7 linked regions of the Macaca mulatta genome follow. The protein of the gene in region 5 purifies or fractionates together with the protein of the main gene of each other region. This does not show direct contact. Links are inferred from orthologs where the notes say so. Each region holds a gene or a part of one and is shown on either strand. Other genes may lie near its edges. The genes, in order: PDS5B, PDS5A, PLK1, NIPBL, SMC1A, USP13 and WAPL.

Region 1 (3,972 bases), on a different chromosome or scaffold from region 5:
CCACCACATGAATACGACTGTGACCTCAGATAAATCAATGAAATTAAAATCTGAACCGAATTTCTCATGTATAAGCGAGTTGGAGATCATCCTTAAGTTTTCTTGTTGCTCTCTAACACTAACGGAGGAAACATAAATAACTTTTCCAATATAAGTTATATACAGTCCATGTCATTCAAGAGTCCATAAGCCAAATCTTACTGAGCGCACTCCTGTTAGTTCTAAGGCAGTCTCTAAATTTCCCAAGAGGAATAAGCAGAAAGAATACAACTTCCCGAAATATTCCTTTCTCACAAAGTTTTGGGTATTTTCTACCATTGCATTCTTCTCCAGGGCAAGCCCTAACACAAAGTATTACTTTATCTTAGGCCTAACAAATTATTGATAAAGCCTACTCCTCAAAATGTTACTTTGTTAAACAAAGCTGCAGAACAATTTAAACAACTTTCATCAAACAGCCAACTCGGTAGAATCTTACTACAAGTAAGCTTAATACAAACATCTCACGACAAGAATCACTATCATCAGTACATGTGTCTCTAATACGGGGGTAAAAATGAGAGGGGAGAGACATAACACGAGAGAATAAAGGCGACAAGAGTAACAAAAGCTGCTGTAAAAGGTAATATAGGGAAAATCAGCCTTAACCAAAACAAGGAGAAAAGAAAAAAAGAAAAAGGGTGAACACAAACACTACCTTCCCATTTAAAATACACCTTTAAGTAAACGCCAGCTGAGAAGAGGACAATTTTTTAAACCATCAGAAAAAGGAGGAAAAAGTCACTATTTGGATAATTTTTATAAAGTCTAAAGTGCATCTTTTTACATATACTTGTAAACGTATATCAAGCACAAATCTTATTTCTAAGGAATAACGTTCTTAAAATGTTTTTAGTTTCTGACAATCAATCGATCTTAACATAAAAGGTCCCATGTAACTTTCACCTATTCACCACTACAAATTTTAATTCGGTTTTCTGCTATCACCATGAGATACAAGATTAACTGTTCCACGAACTGACCCACATACACCATTGAATACTCATTTCATTGTCCCTAAAGATGGGAACATCTCAGACATGTGTACTGCATAACGAGCTGTCTTTCAAGTCCATATTTGTGGCTTTTAACTAGTTTACCTGACCACTACATGAGTTAATATAAAAAACGTTCTGTCTGGGAACTCTGGATGGGTTAACTGAGAACAACGACTATATTGCCGTTCAAGTATTGGGTAATGACGATTTATTTACAGCTCGCCTCCTGCATGTAAACACAACGTGAGTTTTTGAAGTTTATTAGGAAGATGGTATAGGATTACCCAACTCTCTCCACACCGCAGACCAACCCTCTAAATTAAAGCTATATCCAAAGTTTCCGAAACTATTTCATCGACAGGGTAGGATCAGTCGGGGCACCACTGCCCATCCATCACCTCTTATTAAAAGTACAAGAAGCACTTTCTTCGACATAAAAAAGGGTTAACCCTTGCTGGGGTAGAGAGGCTGTTGAAGACGCGCGCGGAATGGGTGGGTAGCTGCTCTTTCAACCCTTCCCGGAGCTCGCCCCGTCCGCGGCAAGGAACGCAGCAGCCTGCAGTTCCGAAGGCGAGGGGCGGCGTTTCTGGTTTCAGTCATTCCTCCAAAATAACTGTCGAGCTACTTCTGAGTTAGCTTTCACGTCTCTACCAAAAACCAACAGCAGTAGCAGCAACAACAACAAACAAGGTTTTTCTCCGGACCGAAAACTTTTAAAGTAGCATTAAAATAACAGTGCAAAAACATTAACGAGTCACAATTGCACACCATTTTCCCCGCCGTTCCTTCCGAAAGGAAAGCTAGAACCCAGTTGTCGCCTGGGAGGAGTCCCTCCACGCCAGCGCTGGGCTCTTGCTCAACGGGGTCCTCAGGTTCCCCGAGCACCCACTCCGGGCGGCGCGGTGAGCGCGATTTCCCTCGGGCAAGCAGCGAGGAACAGCGCAAAAATGTCATGCTCAGCCCGTCCCCTGGCCCGAAGCGCAGGCCAGGCGGCGCGCGGGGACCCGGCGGCGAGGGCGAGGGCGAGGGCGAGGGCGCCCGCGGCCCCGACCCGCGGTCCCCGCCCGCCCCTCGCCCGGAAGGGGGAGAAGCCCGCCCGCGGGAGGATTCAACAGGAGCACCGCGCCGCCCGCCTGCCGCCCGGGAAACAGCCGCCGGCCGGCCGGGGCGCGGGGGGAGGGGCGCGGCGGCGGCGGTGGCGGCGGGAGGGCGCGGGCGGCCGGGCGGCCCCGGGACCCCAGCCCGCGCGCAAGGTCACCGCCCGCCGCCGCCGCCGCCCGGGCCGGGATCAGAGCGGCAAGTTTAATTTCCAGAGGCTGCGGCAGAGCCCGCGGCGTGGAGGCGCGAGTCGGCCGCGGGGCCCTCCCCACCCCCACCGCGCAGCCGGCCCGCGCCCCGCGACCCCCGCCCCGGGCCGCCGCCAGGCAGCCGCCCGCTGCAGCCCCCGATGCCGGGAGGCGAGTCGCGCCTGGCACCCGGGCGGGCGGCGCTTCAGCCCTGCCACACACACACACACACACACACACACACACACAGCAGCAGTGGCGGCCACCGAAAAATGGAGCGCCGCGGCCAGAGAAGAGAGACATTTTCTTTCCGTTAACTGAATTGTTTCCTACCTCCGGGTTTCCGACTCGCTACTCCTCTCACTCCGCGGCTCTCCGGGATCCGCCGCCGCCGCCGCATCCAATCGCCTTCTCTCCCCCCTCCCCTTCCGCAGCCAGCCCGGCCGTTCCTCCTCCTCTCCGCTTCAAAATGGCGCCAAGCGCTCTTCGGCGGCTGCTCCAATCGAACCGCCGCGGACAGCACCCGGGGGCAGGCAGAGCGCGGCATGGGTGCGCAGCGCCCCCTGCCGACCAGACGGCCCCGCGCGCGCCCGCCCTCCGAGCTCCGCCCCGCCCCGTCCGCGCGCGCGCACTCCCCTCCTCAGCCCCGCCCCGTCCGCGCGCACGCAGCCACACGGGCACGCCGCCGCGGAGGCCGCGAGACTGGCAGCTGTCAAGGCGTCCACTACCCTTGCAGCTTACTAGACCTCCACCGACAAAAATCATTCCGATTGTTACGTAGCCCTATCTTTTTAGATAAAGATTGGGAGATTTTTTTAAACACTGACATTCAGCACAGGTGTTGTGCTAGGTTAACATAATTGGTATTATTAACTACTTTGCTCCTTGTTAATTCTGACCTAGTCGTCTCGGAATGCCATACAAATAGTTTTCCTACACTTTATGTGTTGTGTCTTTATTAAATCTCCCCGCTTTCCTAATTTGATGAATTGTTCATAGGTGGTAAGCTGGCGGAGACACAGAGTAATTGAGCCTGTGACGAAGCATTCTATTCCTTTGGCAGAATTGTCCTTATTAGAGGAAGACATCATCTGGAGACCACAGGGACACATTCCAGGAGGTGGGTCTCCTCCCCTCTTCACCTTTCGGGGATGCCAGTCCCTCAAGTGGGTTTAGCCTGGTCACAACAGATCACCTACCTTTGGGGAAGCTTTTCCTCCCCTGCCAGAACTGAAGAAGGGACTTCCTCCTCTTTTTACTTTAATATCATCCCTCCTGTAAGGAAGTTTCCCCCGATATGATGTATTTGGTTACTAGAATTTTGTTCCAGGGAGAATTTGTTTCAACAATGAACAAGCAAAGGGTGAATGAATGGATTACAATAGGATACTTATCAACTGAAAGAAAAGATAGGTAATGCTGATCTGTAAACTAATGTTACTGTGCACCTAGAGATACTAGGTGCATTTTCCTCTGTCTGTCCTAATGGTAATTGCCTCATTCACCCTTACCATGTAGCTGTTTTGAAGGCTATCTCCTTTCTGCACCTAGAGATACTGAGACCTCTTCATTTCCATTTTTGTGGGATTTCCTGGACAATTCCGCTTCAGTCTCCTACAGTGCTTGCTAGACCAATATGTTGTGTTACT
Region 2 (3,975 bases), on a different chromosome or scaffold from region 5:
TAGCCAGGTGGCGCACGGTAGTCCCAGCTACTTGGGAGACCGAGGCAGAACAGCTTGAACCTGGGAAGTGGAGGTTGCAGTGTGCCAAGATCACACCACTGCACATAGATTTGTTTTAATGAAAGAAACTGTTGTCTTATTCCTTCCAAAAAGGCAACAAATTGCACAACCAAATTAGAGTTTGAAAACTAAACCACATGAACATTTTAAACACTGTACTAATTAAAATGCAACATTAGGTACATTTACTGGGCTCCAAGAGCAAGAGGCCAAGCTCATTCCCTAAAATACATTTCGCCAAGTCGCCCAAGATGGAAACATTGTCAACAATGTTGCTTCCCTCACCTCCCACCAATTCTGATTGATTCTAACTCTGAAAAGTTGTTAAATCATTTCCTAGTCACTATTATCAATGCCATAGCCCTATCTGAAGATTTCAACGTCTTTCACCTAGACTACTGTTCATAGTTTCCTAGCCGGACTCACTGCCTCTGGTGTTTCCCTACTCCAATCTAGCACCAATTGTGACAATCAAAATGTCTCCAGCATTGCCAAACATCTCCTGGAGGTCAAAGTTGCCCTGACTCAGAACCACTGCTTCAAGCTGATCCTACAAGAAGAGTATCACTTATTTGGTAAGATTCTGGCCACAATCTATGTCAGTGGAACAGAAACCAAAAAACCTTACAAACGTGAGGCTGAAATTTAAAACCTTAACCTTAGGACTGCCATGCTTAAACGAAATTAGCTGACACCTCATAAAAAGAGCCATAATACTCTTAAACTCCTTTGAACTATGTATAGACTTAAATCATCTTACTTTAAGCCTGAATTATGAAAAGTGTACCTTCTGTCAAAGTTTAACCACAATATATACATATTTAAGCTTCTGGACACTAGAAAATTATGCAAATTTTTAAAAAGGACTTTGCGCTTTAATCAGTCCTCCTCACAAGTTGAAAACAGGAAACTTCTTGGGCAAATTACTGCCTACACGTAAGTGTGCAAGCCACTCTGAACAGTATTCTCATTAAATACCTCCAGAAAAAACTCTAAAAACACACAAATTCTCATGCTTGAAAACCAGGAAGTTTTTGAAAAATCACACTCTTTTTAAATTTCCCACAATGGTTATGTCCTTACAAAGCTTACTCAAAGATAACTTATCTGAGATACAACAGTACCTTTCACAGGGCGTAAGAGATCTAAAAAACTTGGAACTCTAAAGGCCAGAACGAGCAGGGTAGCAATATGACAGGAGAAAGCACCTCCTACCAAAGACATCTGAAGAGCGAACAATCCGTCCAGACGCTTACCTTCAGGCGTTTGATCATCTCGTCAGTGGTGATCTTGTCGGTGATCTCTTTTACCCCCGGAGGGTAAGCGATCTTCCCGTCGGCACTCACGACGCCACAGAGGGCAGTGGCAGGCTTGGGCTGCGCGGTGAAGTCCATCCTGGGGGACAACTTTTGGTTCACAGTCCTCTACCGGCCTCTATCGGTCAGAAAACCAAAGTTCAGCGGGAAAGGGGCGACTTTGTAACCTCTTTTTTCATTTCAAATCTCTCTAATCTGGAAAAGGCCCTTTCTCCCCGGACGCCGGGGACCCGGCAGCGGCCTCGCCACCCGCTCTTTCCCAGGGCTCGAACCCCGCCGGCCCCACCAGCCCCAGCCCAGCCAGCCCCAGGCTCACGGGGCTCCTCGGCACCAGCAGCCGCGGCCGCGGGAGGCGCCGAACAGCGCCAGGAGTTTCCCATTCCGTCTTTCACAATGAAACCCAGCCCCGAGCACCAAGGTCCGAAGTTTGGCGGCCTCAGGAGGCCGGCAAGGACCCCAAGGCCCCCGCTCGGCCGTGGGGAAGCGCCCAGTCCCGCCCGGCCAGTCCCCTCCGGGAAAGCAGACGCGAGGCCTATACGGCTCGGCTTAGGCCGCAAAACTAGGGACCCAGCGGACCCACGCGCAGCGGCGGCTCCCGGGAACAAAACGCCCTTGCCCAGCCGAGCCTCGGACCCGGGGTAGTCCCCGCCGCACTGCCGCCCCTCCCCTGTTCCGCTCCCTCACCCCCGCGGGAGGGGAAAACAAGCCGCCCTCCACCCCGAGCCCCACGCCAGGAAGCGGCTGACGCGGCTCCGCACTTCACATTTTGTTCCTTCAACTTCGGCTGAGGGACCCCAGCTGCTTCTCTGGCCCCCGGCCGCTTGGCGCCTCCGGCACCGCCAAGGCCTTTCCGGCACCCCCGGGCGGCCCCACCGGGCCTCGGACCCGCGGCCCCCCTCCGGTCTCCTCTTCCGTCCCCTCCCTCCAGCAGCCTAGGGCGGGAGCCGAGCCACCGCCGCCTTTACCTCCTCCTCATGCGGGCGGAAGGTGCATCGAGCGCCCGGGCCTCTGTCAGGTGGTTGCGCCGCCGCCCCTCGTCGGGCTGCACACAAAGCGGCTCCGCGGGTCCCGCCGCCGCCGCCGCCCGCCCGCCCGGGAGCGGCGCTGGGGCTGGCGGTGCCGAGGAGGAGCAGCCGCTGCGGGGGGAGACTCGGGGCGAGTGAGCGCTGGGCGGGGAGACAGTGCCGCTCTCCGTCTGGCCGAGGAAGAGCAGCCTCGAAGGCTCCTCCGGGAACGTGTGCGCGTGTGTCCGCCCGGGACCCCCGCAGCCCGCCCGCACGCACCTCGCGCCGGCCCGGACCGCCGACTCGGACCCGGACGCCCCTCGCAGCGGCGCGCGCCCGGCCGTCCGTGCCCCGGGAGCTGGCCCTCGCGCACACACCGGCCGGTCACGCGAGCGGCGCGAGAGCACGCGAGAGCAGCGCGCGCTCCTCGCTCCCTCCCCTTCCTCCGCCGGCCGTGCATCCGCCTCCCTCGGGCCCGAGGCGGCCGCGCGCAGGGCGGACAGCGCCGCCACCCGGTTGGCGCCAATACCTGCCGCGCGGGGCGCCTCCGGGAGGACCCGACCGGAGAGGGCTAGAGGAGGAGGAGCCCGGGTGGCGGGAAGCGAGCCCAGGTTCCCGCGGCCCTGCGGGGGCACGCGGGGCAAACAGCGCTTTATTTTCGCAGCGGCGATGAGCTGGTGACTTTGGGGGGTCATCCTGAGGGACATAGACGGAACCGGTTGGGAGTAGTTAATTGCTCGGTGAAAATGAACTGATTTCTTCCTCAGGGAGAGATCTGGAAAGTCAAGGAAAGTTGTGCAACGGGGCACAGCGTGAGCGGCTCACTCTCGGGTCTTCTGACAGCACCCGAGTTGCCCACCGTCCTTAGATTTCTGAAGTTAATATTTTGAAAGCTGCAAAACATGAAAATAGCATTGGGTCGAGTCGTTCTCAAGGTATGATCTTTGGGCCACCAGGCCTCACAATCGCTTTGGGTACTGGCTGAAAACATAGGTTTCCAACTCCAAACATAAAAAAGCGAGGATCTCTGAGAGTGGAACCCAGAAATAAGCATTTATTAATTAGGTAGGTGATTCTTGTCAAAAAGGAAGAACTCATTTTTTTTAATGTTTTAAACCTACCAAGCATTAACGTTTTCTGTCATCCAAAGGAAAAAACTATCAGGTAAAAAAAGTGCACGCAGCAGTGTTTGAGCATTAATGTTTGTGAAATAAATGAACGCAAGAGCATACACTTACCTATTTTTTAAAAAATCAAGAGCATACACAAAATTTCCGAAGAGGAAGTTGAAAAAAGGATACAATAATATGAAATCGCATTCAGCTCTTGAAACTGACCACTACCATAGTTTAAAATGATATTCGTTTGTTTATTCAAATTATTCTTGATGGATATCCATTGGTCTATTTTTTTCCCACATCCTTTAACGTCAACTTAAAAATAGTAAAGGTACTGCAGCTCACTAACTTGTTTTTGACGTTTTACACAAGAGAGCAGTCATTGCGAATCTGACACTCCAGTTGCTGATTTGCTAGAACTCTGCCCAAAAGTCAGTGGTTTGTTCTTGGGCATTTACAGTACCAGGCAGAATCCAT
Region 3 (3,463 bases), on a different chromosome or scaffold from region 5:
CCTGGGGCTGCAGGGAGGTGAGGTGGGCCGGAGGCCACACAAATGGTCTCCATGCTGGCTAGCTGAAGAGCTGAGCCTGTGGCTGGCCTCAGAATCAGAATCAGAAAAGACTGCCAGGCTGGGTGCAGTGGCTCACGCCTATAATACCAGCATTTTGGGAGGCTGAGGTGAGAGGATCACTTGAGCTCAGGAATTCCAGACCAGCCTGGCCAACATGGCAAGACCCCACCTCTACAAAACATTTGAAAAATTAGCCAGGCATGGTGGCGCACGCCTGTAGTCCCAGCTGCTTGGGAGGCTAAGGTGGGAGAATCGCTTGAGCCCAGGAGTTCCAGGCTGCAGAGAGCCAGGATCATGCCACTGCACTCCAGTCTGGTCCACAGACACTGTCACCCCCTACCCCCCACAAGACTGGCAGAGGCTGGGCAGCCTGGGGCTGATGAAGCAGAGATGTTCCCTGGATCCCAGGCCCTGGCACCCCTCAGGAAATACAAGAAAAAGAAGATTCACATCTGTTTAATGTGTATAAAGCCAAGGAAAGGACAGTTCCGAACTCAATAGAAATATTCTGTACAATTCATATGGTGGGGTTGAGGGGGAGGGGACGAGGCTGTAGAACCCACACCCGAACATGTACAAAAATAACTTACACAGCAACCCCCACCTGCAAGGATGATGCAGCTCTGCCCAGCCACCGGGGCTGGGGGGCACACTGCAGACATGGCACCGCAGGAGCCAACCAGTATGGGCCCCAGATGCTGGTGGGAGTGAGGAGGGCACCAGTCCGGAGGGGAGGGCAGCTATTAGGAGGCCTTGAGGCGGTTGCTGGCCGAGCGTGAGCTCAGCAGCTTGTCCACCATAGTGCGGGCATAGCGGAGCCGGCTGGCCAGCTCCTTGCAGCAGCCGTACTCCTCCAGGAGACTCAGGCGGTACGTGCGGAAGTCCCGCTTCTCATCGATGTAGGTCACGGCTGCCATCAGTGGGCACAAGATGAGCTTGGTGTGATCCTGCAAGAGAAGAGGGGCAGGGATTGCTGATCCCAGAGGCCAGTGTATGTTAGGGAGTAGAGGGAAGACACAACAGGTTATAGGTACCTGAGCCATTCACTCCATACTCAACTCACATGGGCCACTGCCAAGCACGTGGAGCCTACCCCAGCTCTCTCCTGCCCCTGGTGACATCCAGCTCACCTGGAAGAAGTTGATCTGCACGCTGCCATTGCTGAGGTGCAGGATGATGGCACTGCGGGTGCGGAACCAGGTCCGCAGGTAGGGCAGCCGGGCGAGCTCATCACCTTCACGCGGCGTGATGTTGGCACCTGCCTTCAGCAAATGCTCACTCATGTAATTGCGGAAATATTTAAGGAGGGTGATCTGGATGAAAAGTAAGTGAGGGGTTCCAGAATTAGAGTCTCGCCCTCCAGCACAGGTCCCACTCCCGCAATAGCCGGACGGCACTTACCTTCTTCATCAAGGAGTTGGGATGGGAACTCACGGTGAGGTAGGACTCGGTGCCGTCACGCTCTATGTACTGCAGGCTGTCACCATCGTTGTAGAGGATGAGGCGTGTTGAGTCATTGAAGAGCACCCCCACGCTGTTATCACAGAGCTGATACCCTAGGGATCAGTGGAGAGAGGTCTCAGAAAGGGGGAATAGAAAGTGGGGAGTGGGGCTGGGTGCGGTGGCAGATGCCTGTGATTCCAGCACTTTGGGAGGCTGAGGGGGGAGGATTGTTTGAGCCTAGGAGTTTGAGACCAGTCTGGGCAATGTAATGAGACCTCATCTCTACAAACTATTTTAAAAATTAGCTGAGCGTGATGGTGCATGCCTGTAGTCCCAGCTACTTAGGAGGCTGAGCCTGCAGCCAGGCATAAGCCTGGAAGTTTGAGGCTGTAGTGAGTCATGACTGTGCCACTGCACTCCAGCCTGGGCGACAGAGTAGGACCCTGTCTCTGGGCAGTGGGGGAAAAAGGCTGGGGAGTCGGGGAGCACTGGGAGCTGGAATTGGGAGGCCTGGGATGGAGAAAGGAGGGCACTAAGAGTACCTGGGAGCTCAAAAAGGCCAGAGCCTGTAACAACTGAAAAGGTCACCTGGCTGTGCCTGAGTCACCCACCTGGTTCTGGAAGAAACCTACCAAGGCCGTACTTGTCCGAATAGTCCACCCACTTGCTGACCCAGAAGATGGGGATGCAGGCAGGATCCTCAGCCTCCTCTAAGACAGAAACAGACAGACAATTGGTCAGGACCAGCCTCTTCTTCTCTGGTCCACACATGTGGCCCACACCAGGGAACAAGGAAGCCTGCTGGGCACACCACCTGGGCTCAGTTGAGAGGCCTAGGGCCCCAGAGAAGAGCAAAGCAGGGCCTCTGCTGCCAACAGGCTCAGACAAGCAGCAGCATAGACATCTCTACACAGAAAGTTTCAACACAGCGCACCAAGTTCCACTCACTCCTTCATTCCACTGACCCATTTACTGAAGGCCTACCGTGCCAGGCACTGTTGCAGGTACAGTGAGCAACAGACAAAACCCCAGCCTCCACAGAGCTTACACTGTGGTTGCAGGGGCAAAGACTAATCAAATTAAGTATGGGCAAAATATCAGTGACTTCTATCATGGTAAGAGTCAGAGACATCTAGTTTTCCAGTTTGGAGTAATTAGGAAACTGTGAAGACAGACGCCGGCTGCAAACACATTAAAATGTTATATTCAGTGCATGCAACAAACACCTTACTTTAAATCCAATCAAAGAAGAAGGACGTGTTGGACTATGTTGGGTGAGAAGTGTTATGGAAAACTATGCAGTGGGTAAGGGGATGCGAAGCACCAGCAGAGGGGCCAGGGAGATGCTCACGGAGGTGACACCGGAGCAGACACTTGAAGGAGGCCACAGTGTGAGCCATGTGGTGTCTGGAAGAAGTGCTTTCATGCCAGGGCCAGGGAGAAAGCCCTGAGGCTGCAGTACGTCTGGGTCTGTTATTTCAAGGGTCTTGAAGAAACAACAGGAACTTACTGAGCAAAAGAAACAGCGTGTGAAGGTGGCACATCGAGGTGCTAGAGTAAGAGACGGATCAGAAAAGAAGGCAGGAGCCACAGCAAGCAGGGCCTCGGATATCAGGAAATGGGGAAACCAATGGTCCTATGGAGACAGGGCCTGGACAAGTCACCAGTGCTTTGTTGGCCAAGGCTCCTCCTGCCTTCTCCAGATGCCCCAAGCAATCCTGCCCCGCCCAGGGCCCCGCAGTACCCACCTTGCCTGACCAGCCCGCGCTCCGAGGGCTTGGAGGCATTGACACTGTGCAGCTGCTGCAGCATGTCACTGAGGTGGCAGTCGACCACCTCACCTGTCTCTCGAACCACTGGTTCTTCCTTTTCCCGGGTACGCTCAGGCAGGGGGTTCTCCAAGCCTAGAAAGGTGACAAAAACAGGGGCGTTGGGAAGGGCATAGGACTCCCCTGCCACA
Region 4 (3,500 bases), on a different chromosome or scaffold from region 5:
CTAAAACATTGGGAGGGGGGAAAAAAGACCAAGTGTTACACAAAAGAATTTTAGTGAAATTATTGTTTTTATTGCTTTTAATCCCTTGACGCCGGGAGTTGGGATTTCCCGGCACACTTCCATTGCCGGCAATGAGACGCACCGTGACCGCCAGCGCCAAGGGGTTAACATATACTTGTAAAACCATATAACTCTTAATTTGTACCCGTGTCTTTACTCTTATTGATATATAAAATTATATATACATATGAACCATAAAGCTACATAAAACTTAGCAACAATAAAAATAACACACATTAATACAATTCAAAGAAAAATTAACCCTTTATGCTGGATAAATCTCATTTCTGTTTTTTTTTATTGTCTTTTATGTTAAACTTTCTACAAAAGGATGTATAAATGGGTAAGTAGAGAATCTCTATCTACAAAATGTTTCCTCTCTTAAGTATTACATTACTTGGTTGTACATTTAATAGACTGACATATATAAGCACATAAAAATCATTTTACGTAATACGCTGCGAAATACGTTGACTCCTCCTCCGCCTCACCCCTGAAGTGCCTCCTCCTCTATCCTCCCCATCACTTTCATCATCTTCTGTCTCTGCTGCTGTATTATTTTTAGGGCTGCCTCCTCCAAGCAGTGAGGTAATTGCTTTGTTCCGAGCATTTGTGCTAGCTGACACCTCCCCTTCTTCTTCTTCTTCATCAGGGTCCAGATGTTCCATGAGAAGTTTGAACTATAAAAAATAGATATTATTTCAGAATTTTAAGTAAATATTTCAAGCAAGATTGTTAAATTCCTAAATGTTTTCTATGGCAGTAGTTTGCTGTGTGTGAAACAGATGTTAGCCATCATCTAAGTTAGGGGCTGGTAAACATTTTCTGTAAACAGCCAGGTGGTCAATATTTTTCATTTTGAAGGCCATATAGTCCGTCACAACTACACAACTCTGCCACTGTAGTATGAAAGCAGTTACAGACAAATAAATGAGTGGGCATGAATGTTTTCAGTAAAACTTTATTTGCAAAAATAGGCAATGGGTTAGATACAAAAACAGCCAGAGTTTTCAGACCCTTGGTCCAAGACATCAAGCAACCAGGTGACAATTACTGACAGACATTTTCTAGTTATCTCCCCTCTTTGCTCTCTGCTAAGAGGATATAAGAGAAAGCAGAGAATGTTGAAAAATTTTAAATGAGAACTAAAATATTTTTAAATTTTAATGTATGTAAGGTTTGCAAAGTCAATGAATAATAGGAAAGCCACCGTGTAGATTATATTCTTAGCTCAAAAATTCTTATTTTCTATGTTCAGCTACTTGCTTTAAAGTAGATTTTTAAAATTTTTTTAAGAAAAATAGAAATGGAGTTTTGCCATGTTGGCCAAACTGGTGTCAAACCTCTGGCCTCGAGTGATCTGCCCACCTCAGCCTCCCAAAGTACTTGGGAGCCACTGCACCTGAACTAAGTAGATTAAAATATAAAACTTTATTTTTATTTTTTAGGACAGTCTTCTAATTTAAAAAACATTTTAAACAACTTTTATATTGTGGTAAAATAGAAATAACATAAAATTTGCCAGCTTAACGTTTTTTTTTTCTTTTTAAATTCAGACAGGGTCTCACTTTGTCACTCAGGCTGAAGTGCAGCGGCGTGATCATGGCTCACTATAGCCTACACCTCCCAGGCTGAGGTGGTCCTCCCACCTCAGCCTCCCCAGTAGTTGGCACTACAGGTGCGCACCACCATGTCTGGCTAATGTTTGTATTTTTTGTAGAGAGAGGGTCTCGCTCTGTTGCTCAGGCTGGCTTGGACTTCTTGGACTCAAGCAAACCTCCGACAATAGGCCTCCCAAAGTGCTAAGATTACAGGTTTAAGCCAGCATGCCTAGCCTACCAGTTTAACCATTTTAAATGTATAATTCATTGGCATGTTGTACAACTATCACCACTATCCATTTCCAGAGCTGTTTCTTTCTTTGTTTTTTTAAATCACTGGACGTCACAGCTCTGTCCTCATTAAACAATAATTCCCTGTTCTTTCCTTCCCTGGTCCTTGGTAACCTCTAGTCTATTCTCTGTCTCTATTTTAAAAGCACATTTTATATACATACATTTGCATACTTGTTAAGTGAGAATGTATGCAAATATATATTGGCATTACTCATATAAGAACATATGAAAAAGTAATAATATTGGTTGTCAGAAAAGAAAGGAACAGAATGGCCAAACAGGGTAAGAGGATGACTGTTTGCAGTTTTACCTTTTATGACATATAAGTCATGTATTTTTCTGATTTAAAAACATAGCCCTCTGTATCCCCGGATTCCGCACCTGCAGATTCAACCCACAGCGGATCAAAAACTATTTGGAAAATGCCACAACAAAAATAACAGCACTGGCCGGGTGTGGTGGCTCATGCCTCTAATCCCACTACTTTGGGAGGCTGGCGGATCACCTGAGGTCAGGAGTTTGAGACCAGCCTGGCCAACATGGCGAAACCCTATCTCTACTAAAAATACAAAAATTAGCCAGGCGTGGTGGCGCATGTCTGTAATCCCAGCTACTTGGGAGGCTGAGGCAGGAGACTCGCTTGAACCCGGGAGGCGGAGGTTATGGTGAGCCGAGATCACGCCATTGCACTCCAGCCTGGGCAACAAGAGTGAAACTCCATCTCAAAACAAAACAAAACAAAACAAAACCCAGCATTACAATAAAAAATAATACAACTTAAAAAAAATGTGGTATAACAACTATGTACATAGCATTTACATTGCTTTAGGTATTATAAGTAATCTAGAAATGATTTAAAGTATATGGGAGGATGTACGTATATGCAAATACTATATTTTTTAAATAATTTTTTTGAGACAGGGTTTCACTCCCGTCACCCAGGATTGGGTGTAATGGTGCAATCTCAGGTCACTGTAACCACTGCCTCTCAGGCTCAAGCACTTCTCCTGCCTCAGCCTCCTGAGTAGCTGGGACTACAGGTGCACACCACTGCCCCCAGCTAATTTTTTGTATTTTTTGTAGATATGGGGATATGCCATGTTGCCCAGGCTGGTCTCAAACTCTGACCTGCCATGGCCTCCCAAAGTGTTGGAATGACAGGTGTGAGCCACCTCACGCAGCCTACTATGCCACTTTTTATCAGGCCCTTGAATATCGGAGGATTTGGGTATCCATGGGGGGACTGGAACCAATTTCCTGTGGAAACCAGGGGACAACTACAAAACACACACACGGGTTTTCCTATTATCTTTCATTTTCACTAAAATAAAACTATTCGTGGGCTGTTGTTTCCTAAGAAAAAATAATTAGGATGCCATAGGTGCAATGCGAAAGACAAGCTTAAAGTAACTCATTAAAACCACATAGAGAAAAATTATCTTGACAGTTCATGAAGCTTACATTCAATGTAAAGGAGATAGTTATCTCCCCACCAGCCCCCCACATTTACTTGTCAAAAAAGCCCTTATGAGAAGTAAAAACTTT
Region 5 (3,500 bases):
GTCTTCCCTGGCTTACCCACACCCTCCCCACAGACTGGGTTAAGTGTACCTCCTCTGTGTATCCATCGCACCCATGCTCACCCGGTTACAACACTTAGCACATGTCTGTTTATGCGTCTGGCTTCTGCTAGACTGTGAGCTCCTCGAGGCCGGAGACCCTGTCTGATACATCTGTGTACCTAATCCCTCCGCAGGGTCTGGTACAGAGCAGCACTCAAGAAATTGATGCTGTACAATCAAGCAATATAAGCTGCAGGAGTCAGACTCAAGTACTGGCATTCAGGAGGGGAAGGTCAGGGTATGACACAGTGATCAAGGAGGGCTTCCTAAAGGAAGGGGAGGAGAATGAGAAAGGGTGAAGGGGTGAAAGGTGATGATCAACCTAGATTTACATGGAAAGGGATTATTAGCCAGCAACCTTGTGAGCAAAAGCCTGGAGGTGGGACTGAATACATGCAGAGGCCGGTGAGGGCATGCTGAGCGGATGAGGGTGGATGGGGAAGACAGGTCCAGAAAAACCAAAGCCAGATACGCTGCAGTAGATAGTGAAACAGGGATGCAATCCAGATTCCACCAAACTATCTTCACCTTTGCAGATCTCTGTGTATCCTTGGGCCCCAGAGCCTCTGGTGGCCTCAGTTCAGTCTTCGTCAACTGACCTAGGGGATCAGCCTTACCTGTGGATGGCAAAGAGCAGGGCCAGAGCTGCCACTGTCTTCTCCCCGCCTGATAAGTTGTCCATAGGCCGGAAGCGTTTCCCAGGAGCCACACAGTTGTAGTTGATGCCATCCAAGTAGGGCTCTTCAGGGTTCTCAGGGCCCAGGAATGCCTAGGGAAAGGCAGATGGGTCAGGATCTGTATCTGAGTCTGGATGGAGATAGGGACAGGAAGCCTAGAGGGAAAGATAACTGAGGATGGTAGCAGCTGGTTGGGTAAGGGGCTCCAGCCTACCTGGGCACTGCTATTGCGGGACAGGGCTTTATAGATCTCATCAATGTTGGTAGCCACAGATTCAAAACAAGCATTGAAGCGGTCAAAGCGCTCCTTCTTGATCTGTTCGAATGCCTGCTTGGCCTTCTTTGCTCGCTTTCGGGCTGCTTCAAACTCTGCCAGAAAGAAAGACAGGTGACCCCTCAGTGCCCTGGCAAGAAGGACCTGCAAATGACAATCCAGAGCAGGGACATCCCACCAAGAGAGAGAGGAATGCCTGAGGAGGGTCCCAGAAGGATCTGTATCCAGTGGACTGGCCACTGGATACAATGCAGAGGAAGAAACAGGGGCCTGCAGCCACACAAATATGGATTCCTCCCTGTGTTCTACCAGCAACCAGCTACGTGACCTTGAACAGGTCATTTACCCTCTGGGAACCTCAGCAATTTTCTGTTCTATAAAGCAGGTGTAATAACCCCTACTGTTTAGGGCTCCTGGGAGTTTTAAGTAAGAAAGCATGTCAGAACAGGAACTGCTGTGATGTACAGCAGGCCCGTGGCATACCTTTAGCCTCTTGTCCTTATCATAGGCCCAAGTAGAAGGGTAAATCTTACCATCTGAGGTCTCCTGGAACTTGTCTCGGACACTTTCCAGCTTTTCCATGGCCTTCATGTTGGGGGCGGCAATACGCTGAAGCACACTCTGCTGCTCATTCAGCTTCTGCTGCAGTGTGTTCATCTCTTGCTTGATCTCTTCCTCAGCCTGGGCATCCTGTAAGCCCCAGGCCCAGCAACATCAAGAAGGGCCTGGCCCCTGTGCCCAGGCCCCCACCGAGAGATGACCGAGTGTGGCCTGGGTGCCTGCTCCTATATGGAGGGCAGGTTCTTCTTCTCCAGCTTGGTTCCTTCCATCAGATCCTACCCATAGTAACCATTTCCACCATCTCTGGAAATTATAGGCTGAGGCTGCTTTCTAATCTCTAGCCCTTCCCCCAGGCCCTGCCGACCTCTTTGTCTCTCAGGAGGAGCAGTTGGTGGTGCCCCTCTCTGGCTCTCAGCCCAAGCCATGAGCCAGTACCACCCCAGGGTGACCTGGAGGCTCCCACGCTGGCTGCTCTGGACTCCACTTACAGCTCCACAATAAGTAAGGCAATTCACGTTTTCTGCTTAGATCACTACATTTGAGCAAATTCCATTTGAGTTTAGTTTTAGTTCTTATGGATATTGCAATGCATGTCTGGGCTTGTGCCTTTCTGCCACTTTCAGTCAATAAATATTTACTGATTGCCTACCAAGTGCCAGGCACTGGGGCCATCCTGTCCTGTGAGCCCTGGTTTCTGTGCTCACAGAGCTCAGGGGTCTAACAGAGGAATGCAGATAAGTAAACAACCAGAATACTGTAGGATGAATGTGAAAACAATGATAAGCAGGCAATGTTGAATCAGCTCACAAGAAAGACACCTAACTCAGAGATCAGGAGACTGATAGTTCTTGAGTGGTGAATGTTAGTACTATTATGTTTAGTGAGCCTAGGGTATTTTAGGTATAAATAAGTATAATAAGTAGAGGGAAGGATCCCACTAGTATATAGAATAAGAAATATGTGACCTGCATTGAGGCGTTCTGGTTGGTTACCTCATCGGGTGATAAAAATTAAGGTAGGCTTCCAGGAATATGTTTAAGCTAAGGACTACAGGATGAACAAGTGAAGACAGAGAAAAGGAATACACTTTTTTTTTTTTTGGAGACAGAGTCTCGCTCTATTACCCAGGCTGGAGTGCAATGGCATGATCTCTGGTCATTGCAAGCTCTACCTCCCAGGCTCAAGTGATCCTCCCAAGTAGCTGGGACTACGGACACACACCACCATGCCTGGCTAACTCCTCCCAAGTAGCTGGGACCACAGGTGCCCGCCACCACGCCTGGCTAATTTTTTTTTGTATTTTTAGTAGAGACAGGGTTTCACCATGTTAGCCAGGATGGTCTCAACCTCCTGACCTCGTGATCTGCCCGCCTCGGCCTCCCAAAGTGCTTGGGATTACCGGCACGGGCCACCGTGCCCGGCCCCAGGATAGGTTTTTAAGTCAAATATGAAAGCTACACAATAGTGTACGCTATCTCTTATTTAAGTGAAGGTAGAGGGAATACAAATATATTTGTATTTTAAACATATAACAACAACAAAAAGAATAATCCAAAAACTAATTAAAGGGTTATCTATCGAGAAAGAGAGGTGAAAGGGACAGGAATGGAAGCAAGAATTCTCTTCATGTACCTTGTTTTATACTTTTGGTTTTAGAAACACATAAAGATGTTATATATAACTATTAAAACAAATTTAATCAAAATGTGAAAACCACTGGGTAAAAAATTTTTGGGGAACAAGATATTCACAAAATGCCAAAGCATCACTCTAAAGATTACTAATTAATGACAAAGGCAAAAGTGTACATTTAGCGTTGAAAAACCTAGCAACTGACACTTTAACTGAGGGATCAAACTCAGTATCACTAATAGTGGGCACATCCTGACATGATGTACCTCCTGGAGGGATGCCACATAAAGTTCACT
Region 6 (4,268 bases), on a different chromosome or scaffold from region 5:
TTTGCTCTCTACGGTCCTTACAGTCATGCATGTATGAGATGGCACATAGTAGGTGCTGAAGAAACCCTTATTGGACTCACAGTGTAGTGTTACATACCATAACAAAATACTGGCTGGTTGCAGTGGCTCATGCCTGTAATACCAGTGCTTTGGGAGGCCAAAGTGAGTGGATCACTTGAGGTAAGAAGTTCGAGACCAGCCTAACCAACATGGCGAAACCCTGTCTTTACTAAAAATACAAAACTAGCCTGGTGTGGTGGCACACGCCTGTAATCCCAACTACTTGGGAGGCTGAGGCAGGAGAATCGCTTGACTCCAGGAGGCGGAGGTTGCAGTGAGCTGAGATCATGCCATTGCACTTCAGCCTGGGCAACAAGAGCAAAAATCCATCTCAAAAAAAAAAAAAAAAAAAAAAAAACTTCTCATTATCAAGCACTGTGCTTTAAGATAAATATTATCAAACCTTCCTTCCCTTCCTGCCCGAAACATAGATAATGAAATATACTGATTCATCAGCCTTGTAAATTAATCCCAGTCTCCCACAAGGAACTGCTATGATGTGACTGAAATCATCAGTCTACACTGGACGAGATGTTTCTAGAATAGTAACATTCTAGAAACACACAGTAAGCTCCCAATAACTATTTGTGGAAGTGAATTTTAAAAATCAGCCTTTTTTTCCACACCTGCTATCCACTACATTATGCAGCAAAAACTTCCAAGAGCAAAGTTTGTAAACAGAATTTGAAGAAGAGCCCAAATCAAACATGGGGAAAGTCATTTGACCCCACTTTCCATGTCATGCTATCCTAAAAGACTTAAGCCACTTTCTTCCTCGTGGAGGTAACAGTCTGTCAATTGCTTAGGTTAGTTACCACTATCATCCCTCTCCAACTTTAGGAACTGCCCAACACTGGCCATACAATCTGAAAATGGCATTTTCAAATAATTTATGGATAACATACTAAGAAAGGACTGCCGATTCTCACATTCCACTCTGGATCTTTTCGAAATAAAAAAAAGTAAGCAGTCAAAAAATAAGTTAGGTTTTATCCCTCAAATGATATGTAATTACCATAAATAAAAAAACTAATGTCACAGAGAGGATACTAACCCTGATACTCCAATGTGTATCGAGCAAAAATCCTTTGCAGCCAGCCAAAATCAACCCACAGATAATAAAGGAAACTTTGGAAATGTTGCCGCTCATTTGGACTTTTCTTTTCCCCTCTGACAATACTCCACATACTATGAATCAAAGGTATTGGACAATTGCAAGACCTGCCTCGGTCCATCCAATCCATGCGCCTTCCAATGCATTGAGATCTGCCGGGTGACATATGAGATCTAAAGTGGGTGGATAAAAATAACTTGGTCCTCAAAAAGACATGATAAACGCCAGACAGCTGAGTCACTTTGAAGCCTATTTTGACTTTTGAAAGGGACATTCACCCTCCTGCTGCTTCTCACACTTTCACATAGAACCAGGTGAAAACCACCACCAACCGCCCCGGGTAGAAGGCGGCGATCCCTCTCAGCTTCCTCCTCCATTCTCCGAGGTCACGACTCGGGATTGAACTTTTAATAATTTATACTTGAGCATGTCAGTCCAAGTGACTCATTTAGAAGGGTAAGGGGGAAAGGCTTAAGAAAACCATCACAATCCAGTAGATCCCCTATTTCTGCTGCCCGATTGGAGGCACCGGAAGGTTTCGTCTGCCTTTTTTTTCTTTTCCTTTTTCTTTTTTTTTTTTTTTTTTTTTTGAGACGGAGTCTCGCTTTGTCGCCCAGGCTGGAGGACAGTGGCGCGATCTCGGCTCACTACGGCCTCCTCCTTCCCGGTTCAAGCGATTCTCAAGCCTCAGCCTCCCGAGTAGCTGGGACTACAGGCGCCCGCCACCACACCCGGCTAATTTTGGGGGGGTTTTAAGTAAAGACGGGGTTTCGCCATATTAGCCAGGCTGGTCTCGAACTCCTGACCTCAGGCGATCCGCCCGCCTCCGCCTCTTAAAGTGCTGGTATTACAGACGTGAGCCACCGCGCCCGGCCCTGACATTCTAAAGGCAAGAAAAGGAGTAGGGTGAAATGGGAAGTGGTGGAAGAAAAGCTCAGAGAGCAAATCAGAATTGTCCAGGAGTGGGGATCCCTGAGCAAAGCAAGTGGTCCCACAAAAGGAAGGGCTGTGTGTCCGGGGGTGTGGGGGAATCATCCCGTCCACCTACCCGCCCTGCGCTCTGCCCCGGGGAGGACGCAAACGATCTGCAACGTGCAGTTCGGAACAGGGAACTCTTGGACCTCATCTATCTTTAAACGGCGGCGGGGCTGTGTGCAAGCTGCTGGGAATTGGGCCCTTCCAGCCTGGGGAGGCTGGAGGAGCAAAGCCACCAGTCCTCGGCTGCAGCAGCCCTGGGGCGCTCACTGTCTGCCGAACTGCAGTGCTCCTGAGCCAATTCTGCCGCCCAGAGAAAGAGAAGAGGTCCCCGGCCGCCACTGCGCATCTTCTCCCCCGGCTTCACGTGCCGCAGGCCGCCGGCCCCGCGACCCTCCCCCGAGGCGCCTCACTTACGGGGGAGTCGTAGGAGAAGGCGCACTCGTTCTTGTAGACCCTGTCGCCGGACCTGGGCACGCGGATCGTGGGCATGTGGGGCACCAGCAGCTCGCCGATGTCTCCTGCAGCCATCTTCCGGCCTCCGCTGCCGCCCGGCATGCCGAACAGGGCGCCCCGGCGCTGCATGGCCTCGGCACGCACAGGAGCCGAGCGAGCCGAGCCGGAGCCGGAGCGCGCTGTCCGCCGGCGGCGGTGGCGCCAGCGAGCGGGCGGACGCGCGGGCTGCGCGGGCGACCGCAGCCGGGCGAGCCGGGGCGGGCGGGGAGAGCGGGCCGCAGGGCGGGAGCGGGCACCGGGGGCTCGGGGCGGGCGGGCGACGCTGCTATTTTTAATCCAATGGCGAGTCTCCGGCCCAGCTGCAGCGTCAGGCGGGGCTGGGGAGCGCCAGCCGCAGCGCGCCGGGGAGGGGGAGCTGGAGAGGGGCCCTGCGAGCGGGCCGGGCTCGGCGGCGGGGTCGGAGGGCGAGCCCCTGAGGCGTCGGCGCGGGAGCCCGAGCGGGCTGGCGGCCGACTGCGGCGCGGGAGAGCCCCGGGAAAACACCACGTAGGTGTTTTCTATCCCGAACTCTTGGCTTGCAGAGGGGCAACTCCGAGGAGGCAAACACAAAGAGGAGGATTGGGGGTTTTAAAAACCGCTTGCTTTTAAAACAGCCAAAGACTAGAGCGGTGACGTCCCCGGATTGGGTAGGGGCAGGACTCGATGTGCAAATCTGGAATCTAACGTGAGGCTTAAATCTAAATTTGCGCCATGCACTTCGGTGTTTCCCCACTAAGCTTCGTTCCTTACTTTAACATCCAAAGCTCAAAAATAGAATAGAACAAGATCGAGTGAGGATAGAGGGTGTGTGTGCGTGTGTATAATAATAATATAGGTTTTCTTATTGGAGGAAGTCAGAGATGGTCAAGATTTTTTCAGGGCGTCGGGAGGCTTTCTATTTTTCTCGGCCTTTGGAGTATCTTCTATGTGATTCAAAGTTCCCATGTCGAACATTCAGTGGCCTGATTTGAGGATTTTGTAGGCAAACATACATATTCCTGTCTTACTCATCAGTTCCTCAAAATCAATGATGAATGGGATTGGGCTGGGGGGTTGATCATTTGCAAGCAGAGCATGTCTCCCAGCGTCCTCTCATTTTCTCCAAAAAACTCATAAGACGGTTTTAGTGACATAGAGGTTCTCTTAACTACACCCAATATATATATTCATAGCAGGGTATCCAGTTAATGAAACGCCGAAAGAGCGAGAAATAGTGAACCAAAACGCTAATTTTTGTAAACTTCTCCCAGATCAGACAGTCCTTAAGTTCTTTTTTTTTTTTTTTTTTTTTTCTTACATTATTTATCTGTTAACTCTCCCTGGTTCTCCAGACCTGTCTCGAGATTTCCATACCCTCAAGCAAGCTTGGAGCGCACCACACTTTCTTATAACTCATCACTCCCAAATGCTATCTGTTGGAAACGGAGGAGGTGGCACTGAGCAAAAAATCAGACACTATTGTCATCTTCATCATTGGGGCAGATACTCTCAGCGAGCTTTTGCTTTGAATTTAGTCTCATCAGCTTATTACCTTTCAGGTTCATGGATGATGTTTTCTCCAATTACAGAGATAGACTTGGTTTTACGAAACTTAAAAATTTAATCTTAGATTAAATGCAAATTA
Region 7 (3,500 bases), on a different chromosome or scaffold from region 5:
ATTAGTGCCATGAAATTTCAAAGAACTAAATTTAATCAAGTATTGGATATTTCTGAGGCCCTGAAAAAAATTAACATTCTGTGCTTAAGATTTTATATAGGTAATTACCCTATATAGATTATTATAACATCACTGCAACCTCCATCTCCTGAGTTCAAGCAGTTCTCCTGCCCCAGCCTCTCAAGTAGCTGGCATTACAAGCGTGTGCCACCACTCGCAGCTAATTTTTTTATTTTTAGTAGAGACAGGGTTTCACCATGGTGGCCAGGCTGGTCTCAAACTCCTGGCCTCAAGTGATTTGCCTGCCTCGACCTCCCAGCCTCTATACAGATTATTTTTTAAGGTAAAAATGATGTTTATAAGAATAGCAAGTTGATTCATTTGGAGCTTAATACGTTTCAAGTTAGCTTTGTGGATATCGTATTATAAGTTGGTTAATCATTAAGTTTTTTTACTTTGTAAGTAGCATAAGAATATGTACTCATTGTAGAGGAAAATTGACATGGAAGCATGTAGAGTAATAAATCAGCCTTTCTTTATACCCCTTCCTCATATTTGTTTGTTTAAAAGTCTGTGGTGATGTCAAAAGTCATGAGGGAATAATCCCTAGGTTTTTATTTTTATAGCACTGTTTAACACTTGTTGAGTATTTGATGATTATATGTTTTCTTAAATTTTTTTTCACAGAATATGAAACTGGTGTCAAAATGACATCCAGATTTGGGAAAACATACAGTAGGAAAGGTGGAAATGGCAGTTCAAAATTTGATGAAGTCTTTTCCAACAAACGGACCACCCTTAGCACAAAATGGGGAGAGACTACATTTATGGCTAAATTAGGGCAGAAGAGGCCCAATTTCAAACCAGATATCCAAGAAATTCCGAAGAAACCTAAAGTGGAAGAAGAAAGTACTGGAGATCCTTTTGGATTTGATAGTGATGATGAGTCTCTACCAGTTTCTTCAAAGAATTTAGCCCAGGGTAAGGGTTCCTCTTACTCAGAATCTAGTGAAGCTGCTCAGCTGGAAGAGGTCACTTCAGTACTTGAAGCTAATAGCAAAATTAGTCATGTGGTGGTTGAAGACACTGTTATATCTGATAAATGCTTCCCTTTGGAGGACACTTTGCTTGGGAAAGAAAAGAGCACAAACCGAATTGTAGAAGATGATGCAAGCATAAGTAGCTGTAACAAATTAATAACTTCAGGTAAGTTTTGATTTTCTTTATTCTCAGCCAAGAGGGCTTCATGCAAGCAACTTTTAAAAATGATTTAACTTCTAAAATACATACTGTGTTTTCTTTCTGCACTTAGGATAAATGGGGACTATTGATAGTTTTGTAAAAGACATTTAAGAACTTTAAAGAAACCAGTTGGAGGTTGAAATAATAAAACAACTTGGATATTAATGTTTATAGACTGTTGCTCAGGGTACATTTTGGGAACAGTCATACGTTTCTAACCCCGATTCCAATAAGAAATATCTCTTTTTGTTGTGTTAGGATCACGGAGTATCTCATTTCTATTACTGTGGAGGATTTGGATGGTTATTGTTAATGAAAATGAGATGAGTACTTAAAATGAGGATTAGTTAACAATGGTAGACTCTCTGCCAAAACTAGCTCAGAAAGATTAAGGAGGTATTGAGTGGAGACATTAAAGAATTGAACTTGATTCCAAATTGAGATTAGTTTGGGGCCAGTAGCAGCTTGTATTGATAGATTTATTTATTTTGAGACGGAGTCTTGCTCTGTCGCCCACGCTGGAGAGCGGTGGTGCCATCTCGGCTCACTGCGCGCTCTGCCTGCCAGGTTCATGCCTTTCTCCTGCCTCAGCCTCCCAGGTAGCTGGGACTACAGGGGCCCACCACCACGCCCGGCTAATTTTTGTATTTTTAGTGGAGACAGAGTTTCACTGTGTTAGCCAGGTTGGTCCCGATCTCCTGACCTTGTGATCCGCCTGCCTCGACCTCCCAAAGTGCTGGGATTACAGGCGTGAGCCACCGTGCCCCGCCGTATTGATAGATTTTAAACCACAAAACTGGTTGTATTTTAAAAATGTTAATTTGTAAATAGAGCATCTAGTACTCTCTCCTAAAACGATACATTTTGTTCTGTCTCCTGTAAGGGATTTGAGATTTATAATAAGTGAAAAAGGTACAATTAACTAAAAGACTGAAGAGCTAATATTGAGGGTGGCAGGGAAGAGGTGGGGTAGAGAAGTGGGAGCACTCTATCAGCATTAGGATAAGGGTGGCACTATACTGTAATTGAAAAGAAACCTTAGTTCTTGACATCTTGGCAAAGTTTAGCAATAATGAAAGGTTATAAAAATCTTCCTTTGAAAGGAAGTAAACACAAACACAAAACTTTGCTGTACTGAATTCTTTTTTTTTTTTTTTTTTTGAGACGGAGTCTTGCTCTGTCGCCCAGGCTGGAGCGCAGTGACCAGATCTCGGCTCACTGCAAGCTCCGCCTCCCGGGTTCCCGCCATTCTCCTGCCTCAGCCTCCCGAGTAGCTGGGACTACAGGCGCCCGCCACCTCGCCCGGCTAGTTTTTTGTATTTTTCAGTAGAGACGGGGTTTCACCGTGTTAGCCAGGATGGTCTCGATCTCCTGACCTCGTGATCCACCCGTCTCGGCCTCCCAAAGTGCTGGGATTACAGGCTTGAGCCACCGTGCCCGGCCTGTACTGAATTCTTAAGGGGAATTTGTCCTTTGAAGGTTAAGGCACATGAAACAGTACAATGTACTGGGCTTTGCATAGTTTTACTAAAAATGTTGAGCATTTTTTCACTCTTTCTCTCACTCTTGGATGAGACGATGAGCCAGCTGTTACTGTCATTCCTTTGATCCTCCGGGTTAATTCTAATTTGGCTGTCCTTACTGCTTTGCCCACATTTCTCCTCAGGCGTTGTTGGCAAGTTTAGGTTAAATTTCCATTAAAAAGACGGCATAAAGGGCCTGTGCAGTGGCTCATGCCTGTAATCCCAGGACTTTGGGAGGCCAAGGCGGGTATATCACCTGAGCTCAGGAGTTCAAGAGCAGCCTGGCCAACGTGGTGAAACCCCATCTATATTAAAAATACAAAAAATTAGCTGGGCGTGGTGGTGGGTGCCTCTAATTCCACCTAATAGGGAGGTTGAGGTGGGAGAATCACTTGAACCCAGGAGACAGAGGTTGCAGTGAGCCAAGATTGTGCCCCTGCACTCCAGCCTGGGCAACAAAGCAAGATGCCATCTCAAAAAAATAAATAAATAAATAGCATAAACAGCATGAAAACTGTTTTCAGGTCAGCTTCTAAAAATACATAAATGTATGTTAAAATCATCAAACTTTGACACAGAGTCTCACTGTGTTGCCCAGACTGGAGTACAATGGCGCCATCTTGCCTCACTGTAGCCTCTGCCTCCTGGGTTAAAGTGATTCTCCCACCTCAGCCTCCGCAGTAACTGGGATTATAGGCACCTGCCATCATGTCTCGATAATTTTTATATATATAT

The links.
Region 1: the proteins of SMC1A (region 5) and PDS5B purify together in Homo sapiens (affinity purification with western blotting; 8 studies listed by BioGRID and IntAct, with this or other methods). This does not show direct contact. The link is inferred for Macaca mulatta from reciprocal best matches to the Homo sapiens genes SMC1A and PDS5B.
Region 2: the proteins of SMC1A (region 5) and PDS5A purify together in Homo sapiens (co-immunoprecipitation; 8 studies listed by BioGRID and IntAct, with this or other methods). This does not show direct contact. The link is inferred for Macaca mulatta from reciprocal best matches to the Homo sapiens genes SMC1A and PDS5A.
Region 3: the proteins of SMC1A (region 5) and PLK1 purify together in Homo sapiens (affinity purification with mass spectrometry; 3 studies listed by BioGRID and IntAct, with this or other methods). This does not show direct contact. The link is inferred for Macaca mulatta from reciprocal best matches to the Homo sapiens genes SMC1A and PLK1.
Region 4: the proteins of SMC1A (region 5) and NIPBL purify together in Homo sapiens (affinity purification with mass spectrometry; 3 studies listed by BioGRID and IntAct, with this or other methods). This does not show direct contact. The link is inferred for Macaca mulatta from reciprocal best matches to the Homo sapiens genes SMC1A and NIPBL.
Region 6: the proteins of SMC1A (region 5) and USP13 purify together in Homo sapiens (affinity purification with mass spectrometry; 5 studies listed by BioGRID and IntAct, with this or other methods). This does not show direct contact. The link is inferred for Macaca mulatta from reciprocal best matches to the Homo sapiens genes SMC1A and USP13.
Region 7: the proteins of SMC1A (region 5) and WAPL purify together in Homo sapiens (affinity purification with mass spectrometry; 7 studies listed by BioGRID and IntAct, with this or other methods). This does not show direct contact. The link is inferred for Macaca mulatta from reciprocal best matches to the Homo sapiens genes SMC1A and WAPL.

Annotation. Positions count from the first base shown.
Region 1 is NC_133422.1:12,352,437-12,356,408, reverse strand, and holds the start of PDS5B (sister chromatid cohesion protein PDS5 homolog B), read right to left. Parts: upstream 2,801-3,972; 5' UTR 2,657-2,800; intron 2,180-2,656; exon of another isoform or gene 1,806-2,179; intron 1-1,805. UniProt on the Homo sapiens protein: Regulator of sister chromatid cohesion in mitosis which may stabilize cohesin complex association with chromatin. May couple sister chromatid cohesion during mitosis to DNA replication.
Region 2 is NC_133410.1:39,196,302-39,200,276, forward strand, and holds the start of PDS5A (sister chromatid cohesion protein PDS5 homolog A), read right to left. Parts: upstream 2,801-3,975; 5' UTR 2,342-2,800; intron 2,312-2,341; exon of another isoform or gene 2,135-2,311; intron 1,495-2,134; 5' UTR 1,455-1,494; coding exon 1,317-1,454; intron 1-1,316. UniProt on the Homo sapiens protein: Probable regulator of sister chromatid cohesion in mitosis which may stabilize cohesin complex association with chromatin. May couple sister chromatid cohesion during mitosis to DNA replication.
Region 3 is NC_133425.1:23,232,285-23,235,747, reverse strand, and holds the end of PLK1 (serine/threonine-protein kinase PLK1), read right to left. Parts: exon of another isoform or gene 3,408-3,463; coding exon 3,252-3,407; exon of another isoform or gene 2,214-3,251; coding exon 2,136-2,213; exon of another isoform or gene 1,617-2,135; coding exon 1,462-1,616; exon of another isoform or gene 1,374-1,461; coding exon 1,191-1,373; exon of another isoform or gene 1,008-1,190; coding exon 804-1,007; 3' UTR 501-803; downstream 1-500. Other genes in the region: ERN2 (serine/threonine-protein kinase/endoribonuclease IRE2), read left to right, coding at 1-21. UniProt on the Homo sapiens protein: Serine/threonine-protein kinase that performs several important functions throughout M phase of the cell cycle, including the regulation of centrosome maturation and spindle assembly, the removal of cohesins from chromosome arms, the inactivation of anaphase-promoting complex/cyclosome (APC/C) inhibitors, and the regulation of mitotic exit and cytokinesis.
Region 4 is NC_133411.1:38,161,966-38,165,465, reverse strand, and holds part of NIPBL (nipped-B-like protein), read right to left. Parts: intron 741-3,500; coding exon 552-740; coding exon of another isoform or gene 511-551; intron 1-510. UniProt on the Homo sapiens protein: Plays an important role in the loading of the cohesin complex on to DNA. Forms a heterodimeric complex (also known as cohesin loading complex) with MAU2/SCC4 which mediates the loading of the cohesin complex onto chromatin.
Region 5 is NC_133426.1:53,229,506-53,233,005, forward strand, and holds part of SMC1A (structural maintenance of chromosomes protein 1A), read right to left. Parts: intron 1,702-3,500; coding exon 1,545-1,701; exon of another isoform or gene 1,495-1,544; intron 1,142-1,494; exon of another isoform or gene 1,107-1,141; coding exon 952-1,106; intron 830-951; coding exon 678-829; intron 1-677. UniProt on the Homo sapiens protein: Involved in chromosome cohesion during cell cycle and in DNA repair. Central component of cohesin complex. The cohesin complex is required for the cohesion of sister chromatids after DNA replication.
Region 6 is NC_133407.1:91,683,384-91,687,651, reverse strand, and holds the start of USP13 (ubiquitin carboxyl-terminal hydrolase 13), read right to left. Parts: upstream 2,801-4,268; 5' UTR 2,735-2,800; coding exon 2,567-2,734; intron 1-2,566. UniProt on the Homo sapiens protein: Deubiquitinase that mediates deubiquitination of target proteins such as BECN1, MITF, SKP2 and USP10 and is involved in various processes such as autophagy, endoplasmic reticulum-associated degradation (ERAD), cell cycle progression or DNA damage response.
Region 7 is NC_133414.1:63,337,176-63,340,675, forward strand, and holds part of WAPL (wings apart-like protein homolog), read left to right. Parts: intron 1-687; coding exon 688-1,206; intron 1,207-3,500. UniProt on the Homo sapiens protein: Regulator of sister chromatid cohesion in mitosis which negatively regulates cohesin association with chromatin. Involved in both sister chromatid cohesion during interphase and sister-chromatid resolution during early stages of mitosis.